Linked DNA regions of Lytechinus pictus. The main gene of each other region encodes a partner of the protein of the gene in region 2 in a complex. Links are inferred from orthologs where the notes say so. Each region holds a gene or a part of one and is shown on either strand. Other genes may lie near its edges.

The links. Proteins that work in one complex are often made in the same cells at the same time.
Region 1: retinoblastoma-like protein 1 (region 2) and histone-binding protein RBBP4 share a complex: the UniProt entries of both Caenorhabditis elegans proteins name them as parts of the DRM complex. The link is inferred for Lytechinus pictus from reciprocal best matches to the Caenorhabditis elegans genes lin-35 and lin-53.

Annotation. Positions count from the first base shown.
Region 1 is NC_087248.1:6,917,332-6,925,164, forward strand, and holds the start of histone-binding protein RBBP4, read right to left. Parts: upstream 3,015-7,833; 5' UTR 2,882-3,014; coding exon 2,863-2,881; intron 1-2,862. UniProt on the Caenorhabditis elegans protein: Core histone-binding subunit that may target chromatin assembly factors, chromatin remodeling factors and histone deacetylases to their histone substrates in a manner that is regulated by nucleosomal DNA.
Region 2 is NC_087246.1:64,992,924-65,000,574, reverse strand, and holds the start of retinoblastoma-like protein 1, read left to right. Parts: upstream 1-4,642; 5' UTR 4,643-4,811; coding exon 4,812-4,952; intron 4,953-7,300; coding exon 7,301-7,434; intron 7,435-7,651. UniProt on the Caenorhabditis elegans protein: Key regulator of cell division which acts as a transcriptional repressor and negatively regulates cell cycle progression in its active unphosphorylated form, but allows cell cycle progression when phosphorylated.

The sequences.
Region 1 (7,833 bases), on a different chromosome or scaffold from region 2:
AGTTAGTTCCAATCTTACTAAACCCGTTTCACGAAGGGCTTCCTAACTAGAATCCCTTGATATCGATACTATCGGTTGAAAGAGCAGACGAGACGTAGCCTTAGTCACAAAATAGCATAATTTTTGAAAAGCAAAAATATGATAAAACTGCAACTATTGTGATTAATTTGGAAATACATATAATAAAAATAATAGCAGAGGCAAAATATGAACCATGCATACTTAAACCATGAAGACTGGAGCACTCAATTGCTGAGAAAATCAAATTATGAATAATTCATTTCATGACTAAAAAATCACATGGGGACATTGAGATGGGTATCCCCGGGATAGTAAATTTTGATAGTTTACGAAAGTAAACCACAATTGTTTTCTTTGTAAAATAATGATAATTATACGTTTATTTATGGTTCCAAACATCATCAAAATATAGTTTAACATAAATGTTTAAATTTTTACACACCGAAACACACGATTTTGACAAATTCTTTGCATAAATTAGAGATAGTATTTATCAAAAATGTTGATAAGTTTGAAAACGACGAATACGAGTCCAGTTATGGATGACCTGCCGTGGTAGAATCTTTATCGATTCAATTATTTTACTATTTCAAAATGAGTGGTTTTGTTGCGTTTTACCAACAGTTTTTATAGTTTCTGTGCATTACAACTATTATTGAATGATCTATCACACCTGTTTTGCAATGTAATTTCAACTTCTATGAATGATTACGTAAGATTACAATTTTCAAATTTTGAGGCAATTTTGCATGTCATAGTCTACCCACGTGATGTAGTCTTGAGGACGCAATGATGATGATTTTTAAAATAATGAAATATACTTCTTCATCATTGACGTCTTGACACTCTTCCCCCAGTCGCATAAGAGAAGGACCATAATAAAGATGGATTTCCCTCGGAAATCCATCTTTAGAAACAAAAATCACTTTAATTGTATTGATTTCATTAATTTTCACACCTTCCTACGCCTAATGCGTAGGAAGGTTTTAAAAATTATAACATGAAAATGTGAAAAATTTAAGGTTTCTTACCTAACTGATGCTGAGTAAACCCCTCGAACCACATGTAAACAACGTAAGTACAATAGCGTCGACCCTTGAACCGCTTATGTATGACGTACTTCTGGCTAGCGATGCCGTTCTGATGAATAATTTATAGAAAAAAAATTATTTCGCAAATGTTAAAATTTATCACGTAATTAAAAATAATTGGTATGAAACTGACAATTATTTTTAATTTACGTGATACATTTTAACATTTGCGAAATAATATTTTTTTTCTATAAATTATTCATCAGAACGGCATCGCTAGCCGGAAGTACGTCATACATAAGCGGTTCAAGGGTCGACGCTATTGTACTTACGTTGTTTACATGTGGATCGAGGGGTTTACTCAGCATCAGTTAGGTAAGAAACCTTAAATTTTTCACACTTTCATGTTATAATTTTTAAAACCTTCCTACGCATTAGGCGTAGGAAGGTGTGAAAATTAATGAAATCAATACAATTAAAGTGATTTTTGTTTCTAAAGATGGATTTCCGAGGGAAATCCATCTTTATTATGGTCCTTCTCTTATGCGACTGGGGGAAGAGTGTCAAGACGTCAATGATGAAGAAGTATATTTCATTATTTTAAAAATCATCATCATTGCGTCCTCAAGACTACACGTGATGCCACTACGTCATTAAGAAAGTAGCTATAAAAGGTTCGGAGGTGTCATAAATATTTGGTCAGGTTGTTGTCCCCGATCTTGGCAAAGAGGGCTTCGTGAAACGGTTAGCGGACAAGTAGCTCACTATCTTCGATTTAGTCAAGAAGTTAGACTTATGACGGTGTTGAGAAACGGGCCCCTGGGCTCCCGCCCGCTGCGTGGGCGGGAGTTCCCTGGGTTAGATAGCGAGCTGTCTGTGTATGAGGAGAAATTTAAAAAATAAAAAAATGTTAAAAAACTCCTCGAAACAGACGGCTGCCAGCTGTCTAAGGCTACGGGAGACAGTCTCCGATATTATTGGCCATGCGCCTAACTTGTTAGTGTTACTGCTGAGCTTCACCGCGCGCCGCCGCCGAACGCCTCCTCGGCCTCGATGAGTAGTCTCGCCACTTTCTTTCGACAGCTGCGACAGTCGTCACATGTGTAAACCAAACGTGATCGTGAACCTTCGCCTGCATGCATGCATGCAGCGCAGCGCTGGTACCGGTAAAGGTAACCCAGAGAGCTCCCGCCCGCGCAGCGGGCGGGAGCCCAGAAGCTTACCGTGTATTTTACCATTGTCACCGGACTAGGATGATTTATGGTCTAAATATTTCTCCAAATGATTTGTGAAAACGGAAAGTATACAATTACCACGATTATATGGATGAAGGTCTAACGAGTGGCAGATTCCTGACATCTGGGCACAGTCTGGAACCTCAAAAAAACGAAAAGTTCTCTCCTTCTACCCAGTCTCGATCGGCCATTTTGTTACGATTTTTAACAAAAATGGCCGATCGAGACGGGGTAGAAGGAGAGAACTTTTCGTTTTTTTGAGGTTCCAGACTGTGCCCAGATGTCAGGAATCTGCCACTCGTTAGACCTTCATCCATATAATCGTGGTAATTGTATACTTTCTGTTTTCACAATTCATTTGGAGAAATATTTAGACCATAAATCACCCTAGTCCGGTGACAATGGTAAATTACACGGTAAGCTTCTGGGCTCCCGCCCGCTGCGGGCGGGAGCTCTCTGGGTTACGGTAAAGGTAGTTTTTGAATTGGAGTGAGAATGAATGGCCCTGTATTTACGATCCTTCATCTTAGAAATCTGATGAATGAAAACAAATAAAAATAGCATAATATTCTCACCATTGTCCTTTTCAGCCATGCTTGTGGGTGTTCTTAGTGTCACAGAAACCAGGAAAGATGAAAATCAATGTACGTTTTCTGCCAAGAACAATAGATTTCCTCCCCGCCAAACATGCAAAAATGTCGCGCGGAATGGACACGGAAGTGTCAATAGAGGGCCAGAGACAGAAATCGACGGATTATCGAACTGATGCGAAATAAGAATAATCCAGGACCAGGGGAAACAATTATTTTTCAAAGTTTAGATCATTCTTTCATATTAACCTTAATATTACTTTACAAGTAAAAATAAAGATACTGAAAAAGTAACGATCGAAGTACAAAATCTGTTTGAACCGGCTGAATCGGACTGATACCGACAAAGGTGGATGGGGGGGGGGGGGCGGGCGGTGGATTGACATTAAGGCGGGAATTAAAAAAAACAAAAAACTAGTTGGCCTTTTATTTTCCCCCGGTAAAATCATCTATATGAGTAATGTGCCACCCAATCATATGGTATCTGTCATGGAATCCTTGATTTTGATTGGCTATTGAGCTTGAGACTTGCTACCATTGCAGTGGATGGAAAAGTTACCATATCAGTAACTTTAAAGGGATGGTCCAGGCTGGAAATATTTATACCTCAATGAATAGAGTAAAATTCACAAAGCAAAATGCTGACAATTTGATCAAAATCGGATAACAAATAACAAAGCTATTGAATTTTAAAGATTTGCATTATTATATGCTGTTCTAGGCATGTCTTTATGAATATTTATATTTCGGTGGGCTGATGATGTCATATCCCCACTTGTTCTTTTGTATTTTATTATATGAAATTAGGTTTATTCAAAATTTCTCTACCAAGAACTAAAACAATTGGATAGACAACTGATTAAGTGCATTAGTTATTTGTTTTTCCTCAACACATTTCATCATAATGGAGACACATCATGAAAATATGAAGAAAAAAAAAATACATTTCATGTAATAACATAAGAAAAAAAAGGAAAGTGTGATATGGATGTGACATCATCAGCCCACCTAATGAATATTCATGACGATGTGCATATAACTGTTTTCACAAAATATTGATAAACTTTAAAATTCAATAACTTCGTTATTAGATTTTGTTTTCCGGTTTTGATGAAATTTTCAGCATTTTGCATAAAGATTTTCAGCCTGGACCATCCCTTTAACAACGGGACCCAGATCCTTTATGCCCTCTCAGTCACATAGAATTTAAGGCAACAAGATCTTGTCCCGTGCTGAGTGTTGTAGATCCCAGAGGTGGGTGGCATGGTGATACACCCCGCCCCCCCCCCCCCCCATGCACCCAGTCCCATATGGAAGAACATTATAATGATTATTATATAATCATATGACAAGGATGATCGTGTGATAATGAGGGGGTAGACTATATTAAGAACATCATGATGGATGGTATCTGGTATCATCATTGACCACCATTTTTTCATCGTAATTTTCTTGATTATAGTTCTCGGAGACTAAGCGGATAGACGGAAACAAATATTTGTGACAGTGATACCCATATGCTTCGAACACAATCGGTATTCTGGGAGGGGGCGGGTACTGTCACATATATATTAGTTTATTTTCTTCTTCAATCTTCTCCTGCTTCATCTTTTTTTTATTGCAATAAGACTTTTTGTGAAGTGACGTTAGTCGGCATAATGTCAATAATTATTCTCGAGAATATGGCTGCGACGCCAAAACCAGTATCAACCCCCCCAAAAAGTCCGAAGTGCATGTTATTTCTTTTTAATTAAAATGTACGAAGTAGTTTGTTATATTTTGTAAATATTAATCAAGATCTTCTGTTGTCATTAAAAGTCAAACACGTGGAATTGGAGAAGCTGAGTAAATTCTGATCATTCGCATTATTTGTCGTGTAAATGTAAAGTGCAAATTGAGCGATCCCGGTGTAGACATTAAATGTGCAAATATATGCATCATATATGAACGTTGCAAAAATGAACCCAACATCATGTTTTCAGAAAAGTATTAGATCTAAAATGCTGTCAATCATTTCAGTTATATCGATGTAATTAACAATCACTATCGTACAAACTGTTTGCTGCTGCTGTAGAAGTATAGTAGTAGTAGTAGTAGTAGTAGTAGTAGTAGTAGTAGTAGTATAGTATATTATTATTATTAGTAGTAGTAGTATAGTAGTAGTAGTAGTAGTAGTAGTAGTAGTATAGTAGTAGTAGTAGTAGTAGTAGTAGTAGTGGTAGTAGTAGTACGTAGTAATAGTAGTAGTAGTATAGGAGTAGTAATAGTAGAATAGTAGTAGTAGTAGTAGTAGTATAGTAGTATAACATTGTTGTTGCTGTACATGACTATTTTATTGTACACAATTAATCGCCATCATTATAATCGCACCTCATGCAAAATATCATCAGAGTTGCTTTTCGCTTACACTGATATCATTGGGGTTGATGATGATGGTGGTTGTAGTGGTATATAGCGATACAGTTGTTATTTTGTTTTATTGTTGGTGGGGATTTTGGTGGTATGTTTGTGGCGGTGTATGGTTGTGGTGGTGGCGGCGATGGTGGTGTTGATGAGGTCGTGACAACGTGGTGCATGGTGATGGTGTTGGTAATGTTGGCGATACTGCATTTGTTGTTGTTGTTGGTGGTGGTGATATCACCAACGCAGAAAGACACCTCCCAGAATATACTGACTATGTATTCAGAAAGTTTTTTTTATGTTTTTAATGAAGTTCTTTCAAAAAACTTCATGAGCCGTTGACTATATGCCAATCAACATCCATTTGGATTAACCAAGCCCAAAAAAAATATGAAAGATAATAACCAGACTGCATAATATGCATTTGAAGTAAAACTCATTCTACACAGTTCGTTTTGTTTATCTTCTATCGACCAGGGCCCTGTCTTACAAAGATTTACGATTGATTGATCATCTCAATACATGGAAATCCAACAATATGTCTTTTTTTTCTCAGGAAATTTGCATGATGTCTTTGTAAACAAAGAAAAGCTCACTGAATTTTCAAGAAAACAATGAATGTATGATTTCACATCACATTTAGGAAATATTTTGTTTAAACATGCTATTTGTAAGACGGGGCCCTGGCTAGCTTGCTCGTGGATTGCAGTTTCACTAATAACTTATGGGATGTGATCGGCATGGGCAAAAATCCCGGGGATAGGGGCGGGGGACACGGGGCTGGCAATTTAAATTTTGTACATCAAGCCTGAAGTTTGTGATCTTCATCATCATCATCATAATCATCATCGTCACCACCACCACCACCATCATTATTATATTCACCACCATCATCTTTTTTATGCAGTGCTTGTTTCGCTCGCTCGCATTCGTTTCTTTAAATTTCGCCCCTTATGTCATGTCTGGCCCCTCATTACCACTGATCATCATCATCAGTACTAACCATCCGGTGTATTTTTGAAGGTTATAGAATCACCTTTCTCGTGTTTTTCTTGAGAGGCTTGAAATTATGGCCCTTGCTGTGGAAGCGGGGGTGCTGGGGTATTAACCCCCAAGATTTGTTTGGAGGGTGGTGTGTGTGTGTTTTGCTCCATAGACAGAGCACTCCTTGGAATCTGGTAGGTAAAAAGATCGAAACCTAACCAGAATCACCCACATTTTATTGTGAAACTTTTTTTTTTGGGGGGGGGAGGGGTTGTCAAATTTTTCTTCCAAACCAGCACGTACCCCTATAAAAAATAAAAATAAAACAAAGTTTTTACATTATTTACTTCATGCTGTGTATAATTCTTACTGCTTTCTTTTTATTATTTCAAATATATATAAACATCTGCAAAATAATGTACCCGCTCCTCCTTCAAATGTTCGAAATTCGACGCTCTTTATCAAATACAAAGTTTTCATTTGTTTTTCTTGTAAACACCATGCACTTACACAATCTTTCGACAAGATCTGGAACATTGGTATTGTTAATTCGAACTCATGCGCTGTCGGTTAAAATCGATCTCTTCGATCACGTGTTATAATGTGTATCGACAATATACAGCAACCAAAATGTTCCAGATCTGCCACATTGATATTGTGTTATATATTCGAGGTAAGCACCCCCTCCCTCCAGTACAAGTAATCCCAGATAAATACAGCTGGTATTGCTTGAGGATCGTGTGTGATCCCAGGCAGCATCAAAGGGAAAGCACGCAAGAACTGCTCATCTTCATCAGTTCATCGACTTGTTTAAGGTACCTATATATCTGGTAAGTGTGGAACTCTTATCTTAATCAACGTTAACATGTTAATGTACCATAGTGTAAAAATATTCTTCAGAACATTAACAAGAAATCGTAATTTTAGGTTTCGATCTTCCTTCCTTTCTTGTGTCCCAAAAATGGAAGATATCATGCTTCCCGGGTGAGAAAAAGACAAAAGAAGAATTTTATCTGTTTTTTAATTTTTTTGCGAACAGGCGAATTTTTATTTCTCAATTAATAATGAGGTTTTATTTTTCGTGTATGAACCATATTAAAAGAGATAATTCATATTACCGACGAATTTACAGTAAACTTGCCATAAGAAATTCACATCCAAGACATATTGCCAAAAAATAAAGTATACGTAATTTTGCAAATTTTCGGTTCTTTCAAAAAAGTTGTTTGCGTTATTTTTTTTTCAACACACAAAATGACATGTTTTTATTACAATTCACATTACTGGTTCCAATAAACGACCGACTCGAGCATTGATTGATACAATTAAGTGTGCATGTCGTATACCAATAGGGTATAGGAAATATGTTTTTCGGTCACTTTATATTGCATTCCAGGACACAGGTTTTAATATAACTCGTTCTTGATCATGCCTTATTTGATTACTTTAAACTGATTATCTAAAATGAATCTCGGAAAACTATGGAATTCGTTTCATTCTTACTTTATATACAAAATATTTACAAGGTTAAACTACCGCGGATATATATTTTTAAATACATTGATATATTTG
Region 2 (7,651 bases):
ATGGCAGTCGGCAAAATCATGTACCAGTTGGCAAAATGGAGGATAGGGGAGAAAAAGAAAGAGGGAAAGAAAGGAAGAGAAAAAAGAAAGAAGGAGAGAGGGGGAGAGAAATAAAAAGAAAGAAAGAGAGAGAGAGGAGAGAGAGAGAGGGGGGGTGAGAGAGAGAAAGAAAGAAAGAAAGAAAGAAATAAAGAAAGAAAGAAAGAAAGAAAAAAAAAGGAAAGAAAAATAGGGGTACTAACTTCGAAGAAGGTTACGACTTTGACAACCAGTTGGCAAATCCAAGTCCATGTAGCCAGGCTTAGAGCCCTACTAGTCAGCAAAATACAAAGGACAAAACAGATGGAGCTATAATAACACACAAAGTAAGCCCCCCGGTCCTTCCCCAATATAAACAAGCTTGTGAGTTTGCAAATTATACCACAATTATTGACGATTTAACAAACACATTAGTTTTGTAAAATTAGAGGCAAGACTAGGTACATAAATATGGAGTGGGGTGAATTTTCAAGGTATAAGTTAAATAATCAAAGCCAAAGAATAGTTGGCAAATAATAAAGTGGGCCTATTAAAGTGGCAGAACACTATACGCTCTACCAGTCAGCAAAGTGATGTACAAGTACTGCCCCGTTTCTCTGAAAAGAACAGAACACAAGACTTAAAAACTGGTAACTCTGCAGTTGGCAAATTCATGAAGACAAGTCTACAACTTGTAAACTTGTCTACAAGTTTGCAGTTAGCAAAAAACACAAAAATGTTCTAAGTTATTTTTACTAAATTCTGTCGCCGAAGAATTTTGTTTAATTTATGGTGTCAGAATGTGCTTGGGGTGGGGATGGGTGGGAGTGGGGGCAGGTTTGGGTTGCATCATTCCTGGTGCTCGCATTGTATGACTAATGAGATATATAGTCCTGTTGTATTTTAAGTCCATAAAGATTATGCATCAAATTATCTCCTCGCACTTCAAGTTATTATTGTTTTATGTACTTATGCCTTTTTCATGACTATATACTTAGTGATTGCCCCCTTTTAAGGCCATAATAAAACATTTCCAGTCTGTGCTTACCTTCGCATTGGTGTGGACCGATATAGATACCGGGCTGGTAGTGGTGTTAAATCAACACTGGCGTTTTTGCAGTAGACGAATTCCTAAAGACAGTCCTTAAAATGTCCCTTTTTCTGATCTAATTATAACAAATTTTCAGCTCGCGCTTCGCGCTCGCATCACTTAATTAGTGAAATAGTAAATTCCTACAAACAAGCCATAGAATGCCCCTCTTCAGGTCCGAATTTCAAAAATTGTCAGTTCGCGCTTCTCGCCCGCAATATTTCATTAGTGAAATACGTATCATGTTCATGATTACAATGACCACAAAAAGTGCTTCATGTACCAGTGTAATTCTAACAAAATCAGCAAGCGCTTGGCGCTCGCATTAGATGACTATGATGAGATACGTACGCACTTCATAAATTGCAAAAGATCACTCCCGCATATCGAAAACTTGCATACAGTGTAGCGGACATGTAAAAACATAGCAGACGACGTTTGCAGACCTCGCGATCATCGTATGACTAGCGGTGCAGAATGTTCCATTGTGGCTTTATGGGGGAGATAGCATTACAGAGGGATAAAATGTATACACAAATAATGTTTCAGCGTTGATTCACAATATTTTGTGTCGATTTCATAAATTATTGTTGTTTGAACATTTAAAACATAATTATAAAGTGAAAGGAATAAGCACAACTTAATTTTCAGACTTACCTATGCAGTGGTAAGCTAGGATGCACCCCTCGTATACATAATTGACCCGTCACAGTTTTCAGAGACATATCCAACTTTGATTTTTGTTGGCAAAAATAACGGTATCTGATATATTTATATCTATAGTTCGGACTGACAATGTATATATATTTATACATACCTAATAAAATGTTCAGCACTGCAATGGAAAGAGCTAGAAAACCGCTGTGACTCGAACAACACACCGACGTACACAAAAACTCTGTCCAGCCCTATATGTTGAATGCACGTCGAGTGTAGGATTGCTCTTCGGACATCACTATCACAAAGAAAATCTCCTCTGATTTGATGATAAAAGTGCACTATTTCCTTATTAACCAATCTCCGTGGTTCTTTAATGAGTATTTGCCTTACAATGTGCCCTTTATTATCATCTGGGCGGAAATTCTTGATACCATCACCCACCGATGTGACGACGGATATAATCCACCCGGGTACTATAAAAATGTCCCCCAAACCCATTATCCCAATACATATTCCTGACTATGGATGGTTTTGAGTGATTTTAATGTAATAAAGTGCCACATTTCCCACCAATTGAATTTAAAAAAAATTATGGTCATCTAATAGAAGAAGTTGTTAACATTCATATCAGGGGGGCGGAAATTCTATATGAATCAACACTTGTCCTTGATACACATTTGTTTGTGAAAAAAGGGTATGATGCAAGGGAATTCTGCGTGTTATAAGGGTGCGCGCGTGCAGCGAGGACCTTCTGTCCGCTAGTTTTCCATATAGTCCTTAAAATGTCCCTTTTTAGGTTTAAGTTATACCAAAAATTTCAGCTCGCGCTTCGCGCTAGCATTGTTTGTTTTGTGAGACAGGTACATATCGTGATTACAAAACTTTACTTATAATGTCCCTTTTTAGGACTGAATATCAAACATTTTCAGCTCGCGCTTCGCACTCGCATTATTTGATCACTAAGATACGTATCCGTTTTATGGCACAGTCCTTAAAATGTCTCTATTAGGTCAGTATACCTGGCAATTGAGCGCGCTTCGCGCGCCCACTTAATGAATCAAATTTTTTGCTGGTGCCGCCCCCAATGCCGTGACCCACGGTACGCCACTGTTAGCAGTAGCACTCTTGAAATTTTAGTTGAGACATCTTGCACAGAAGGTCAATTAAAAATTAACAAATCTTTGATTTTGATATTATTAATGCATATAGGGCATTATACTGCAAGTTAGCAACTACGGCACACTAGCCTTTCTATTTTGATCCAAAATGTTTATTTTTGCAGTGCAAATATCTTTGTATATCTTTGTATAATTTACCTTAAAGTATTCACCAAATGCCACTAATTCAATTCTAAAAATTCAAAATCTTTTAGCATGTGATTATTGTGGGGGGGGGGGGCACATCCCCCATCAGACTCCCCCTGTGCTCACGTTGGCGCTGTCACGCCAAATTTAGTTGGCAAATTTAGCTGGTACACCCCCCCCCCCCCAACAAAATGCTTCTGGCTACGGCCCTGCTGGGCGTTGTGGCGTGCGCTTGTAATCCAAGCTATGTGGGGAAGTTATAAATTGATGCAGAGGTTCGAGGTTCGAGGTTCGAGCCCTGGTCACGTCTTTCGGATGGTGACGTTAAAGGTCGGTCCCAGACGTAAATAATCATATCTGATTGATACACGTCTGACAAAACTCAAATACACATGCACACGATGACTGGGGTCAGATCAGTGTCATACTGTGGGTCATGGCATGGGGCGGGCACGATCGAACAATTAACAAAAAAAAAATCGCTTCAAAATTACAGTAAAATTTTAGCCCACCAACCTGATTTCCAGAGGGTGCTTCCTCAGGTGTATAAAGGCCACCGCACACCTTACGACTGTTCGCGATCCGATTTTGGAACAAATCGCATTTTGCTCATTTTCTGAAAATGTGAATGGAACATATCATTATATTTGAGGTTAAAATTAATTGAAAGAATACTAATATAACCATTTTGAAAGATTTCAAGCCTTTATTTTGGAGTAAAGGCCAAATAAGTTTCAAATCGTAGCCAATCGTACGACTGCTATGACGTCATGACGACTAGATATTAAATTTGCTTTTGTTATAAGAAGAATGATAGCATAGTCACATATTTGGATATAGGTATTCGTACGATGATTTCGGACATTACACAGTAAGATATTCCAAGTCTCAATATTAGCATCAAATTCTACTACGTTTTATTTCAAAACTGAGTCGCAGACCAATCGTAAGGTGTGCGGTCGCCTTAACATATACCAGGAAGCTCCTTGCATATATACGCAGCAAAAAAATCTTCCCTGTCTCTTTCGGGGGCGTTTCATGAAGGGACTTGTCGGACGTTTTATCCGACAAGTTCCATTTTATCCGACAGTTACCATAGGAACAGTATCTCTCAGCCAATCAAAATCATGGAAAGATGTCAGATCTGAGAACTTGTCGGATGAAAATATTGATGAAACGCTCGATCCCCTGGTTCTCCCAAAACAAGATTTTCCGACACGATTTCATTGTTGAATATTCATGAGTTGATGCTATTGACCGGGATGCGACCGGGATTATTGATTGGCTGAAAGGAGTTAAAGGGCCAAGTGTGCATACGATTTAGGTTATTCATTACTATTAGTCCGCGGGATGCCACTTTCTCGAGGTTAAATTCTCTATTTGGGAAATTAATCCGAATTTTATATTAAAAATTCTTTATCATATGGAATTAGGATTACACAGATAGCTTAAAATTTTCATCTTGTTGTTATTCATAATAAATCTATGAGAAAAGTTCTAACTAGTTGTTTCGAGCGCGGACTGATATTGAATAATCTATGCGCAAACAGTTTCCCGCCCTTTTTAGCTTGTGATCAATTTTGCGTTGCGGGTGAACGAACCCAAATTCACTGTAGTCCCACATGCGCAATTTTGTTGCTAGGCCGATTTCATGGTGATTATCATCGCTCAACAAGGAGGTAGAATACTCGCAATTTGTTTATGAATTTATCCCAGTTTTACCATACATTAAATGAATAATGACGGACTCGCCAGAGGAGATCATTTTGACGACAAAAGACCGATTCGAAGAATTATGTATGAGTTTAAATTTGGACGACGCCACGAAGAAAACGGCTTGGGAATCATACGAGAGGATATGCGAAAATTACACGCTAGAGGTCAGTGTTTCATCAGTCATGTCAGTTGTTATTTTTGTTTTGTGTGTGTCGATATATGCGACAAAACAAATCAATTGCTTCCGACGTTCCCATTCCAGCTTAGTCCCACCAATAATAATGTTTTGCAATTTGCATGTCTCTAGCAAAAATACCGCAAAATAATAATAGGCAATAGCCAAAGCAAAATATTTTAGTTGTTTTTCAATTCTACTACTAGGCTTGACTTGAGTTAGAACTAGGCCTAGAACTAGAAGTCTACAAAAAAGTACAATGGTCTAACACTTAACAGTAACACTAACAACATGTTAACTTTGTTAGACTTAGACTCGATGACTGTTTTTGTTTGTGAGACTTTTAAATGCAATTATTGTTTGATTGTCAAATACCAAAAGGCCAAGTTATTTTGTTTAATGCTAACGTTACATTCATTAGATTGTTTTTCCATTCTAATTCTGCCAAGATGCTACTGTTTTAAGATGCAACAGCCAACACCACTATGTCCTCCAGCATCAACTCATTTAAACACGGATTAGTTTCTTTTGGTCAAGCCAACATTTTTAAATTGTCTGACATCCACGCCCGCACTGTACTTTTTTAAACTTTTAATTATGCATCAAGTGTTTACAACCGGGAGATCTACAGGATCAGGAATACCTACCCTCCCGTACAGATGATGTTTTTGTTTGTGAGAATGTTGTTCTACCTATGGCTATGTTACTTATGTAAAATGGTTGACTGACATTGATAAATCCGCTGTTTCGGATGATTTTTTCAACATTTTCTTTTTCTTTTGTCCTATTGACGGAGGGGATGCCGAGGAGCCAGACGAAGTGTCAGCAGAGCATATCCCTGACAGAAATGGGTCTATTAAACGTTTGACCTAGTACCTATTTATCGGTCTAGTTAAATCAAATGAAATGGCAACATTGATGTCATTGTGTGGACTATTGATTATCAAATAGATCTACATGTAGACAATAATGAATTATTATTTTTATTTTATTTCTAACACTTGTAGTGGTAGATCAAGACTAACCTGGAAGATATTTGCAAGTAACTTGCAAATATGCAACTTATTTGCAAAAACTGAAGAAAAAACGGAACCTAATTTATTTTTGTAATTATGATATACTGACCATAACTTATAATTTCAATTATTTTGTGAATGTGAAAAAAGAAAATATTTTGGACAGGATATGCTCTTCTGACTGAGACTCTGCCTGGCTTCATGGTAGGAGAACTGAAAAAAATAGAAGATTTCAAAAACTCTTTCGAAACAGCAGATTTTTCAGTAAATGTATGCTGTGTTTGCTGAAGACCTAATTTTAACGTTAGTGTCTGATATTTTTTGGAAAAACTAACGTCAAAGTCAGACCAAAGGTTTTAGTCTGTCTGGAATTTTTATAGCCTAAAAATATCTTTTTCCAAGTATCAATGACAAATGTTTCGTTTTTTATCAAGTATAGAATTGCAAAAAAATCAGATTTGAATGGTGATAATTGAGCCCAGTTCATGAGTATACTTTTGAAATTTGTACAATTTTCTTAGGAATATTTGCTCTATTTGTGCTGCTATTTTCCCCCTGGATTCTCTCCTACAATTTGAGTCAATAATGTTCCTGGTCTGTAAATTGTGATTTTGTCTAATAAAAAAAATGTTTACAAATAAGTTAGTTGTTACTAAAAAAAAAGACAATATTTGTCTTAGAACTATTTTCTGTCATCCATGTTTTAAAATTTTACTGAAGACATGTTTATCATAAATGACTGAGAATGATGGTCTAATATTAAAGAGGGGATATTTTTCATGTTCAAACATTGATAATGAGAAGAAAAGAAGATCTGAAAAATTGATGAATTGTCCTCATGGGGCACCTATAGGCCTACAGCTATACTGGCAGGTGATTTCATATTTTAATGTCATTACTTCATATTCTTTGGTGTTTTTTAATTATTATTTTATTTTTAGAACTTTGTTTTTCTCCTTTTACAATGATATCTACTCATGTGATTTTTACCTAATAATAAGTGAGTTAAATTGATTGAGTCTGCTTTTAAGAAAACCAACATGATAGTTGGATGAAGTCCAGTGGACGTCATGGACCTGGACATGGAGGAAGCTATCTATGTAAATTTACTGGGGGTGCCGTGGCAATGCTCAGCACCCCCAGTAACAACAGAATAATCCTCCGTGGACAGGGCCCTGGTGGACTTCCTCTTCAATATACATTTGGGCACACATTTGGCTTGCCATAGTCCAGTCGTTAATTTAACGTCCTATGTAACCTTACAAACATCTTCAGGGATCATTGTATTTTCATTCCGAATTCAAATTTATTTCTGTTACAGGGAGATAAAATCCAATGGCTTTCCTGTGCCTTGTATGTAGCATGCAGACGTAGTGTAGTACCGACTGTAAGCAATGGTACAATAGAGGGCAATGGCGTGTCTCTAACTCAACTGCTTCGCTCTGCCAAACTGAGGTAAGATGCTCTTCTAAATTCTCTAATCATCATGTCTTGTGCTGTCAGTTAAGATTCAGTATTGGTGTAAACTACATTGTACCCCCAACAAAATGGGGAAGAAAATTATATAAAAATCTGCATGTATATGTTGGAAAATAAAAAAGAGGATTACTAGGTAATAAAGTAATACACATGTATATGTTCCATTTTTAACTAGGGTTCGACTTTAATTATT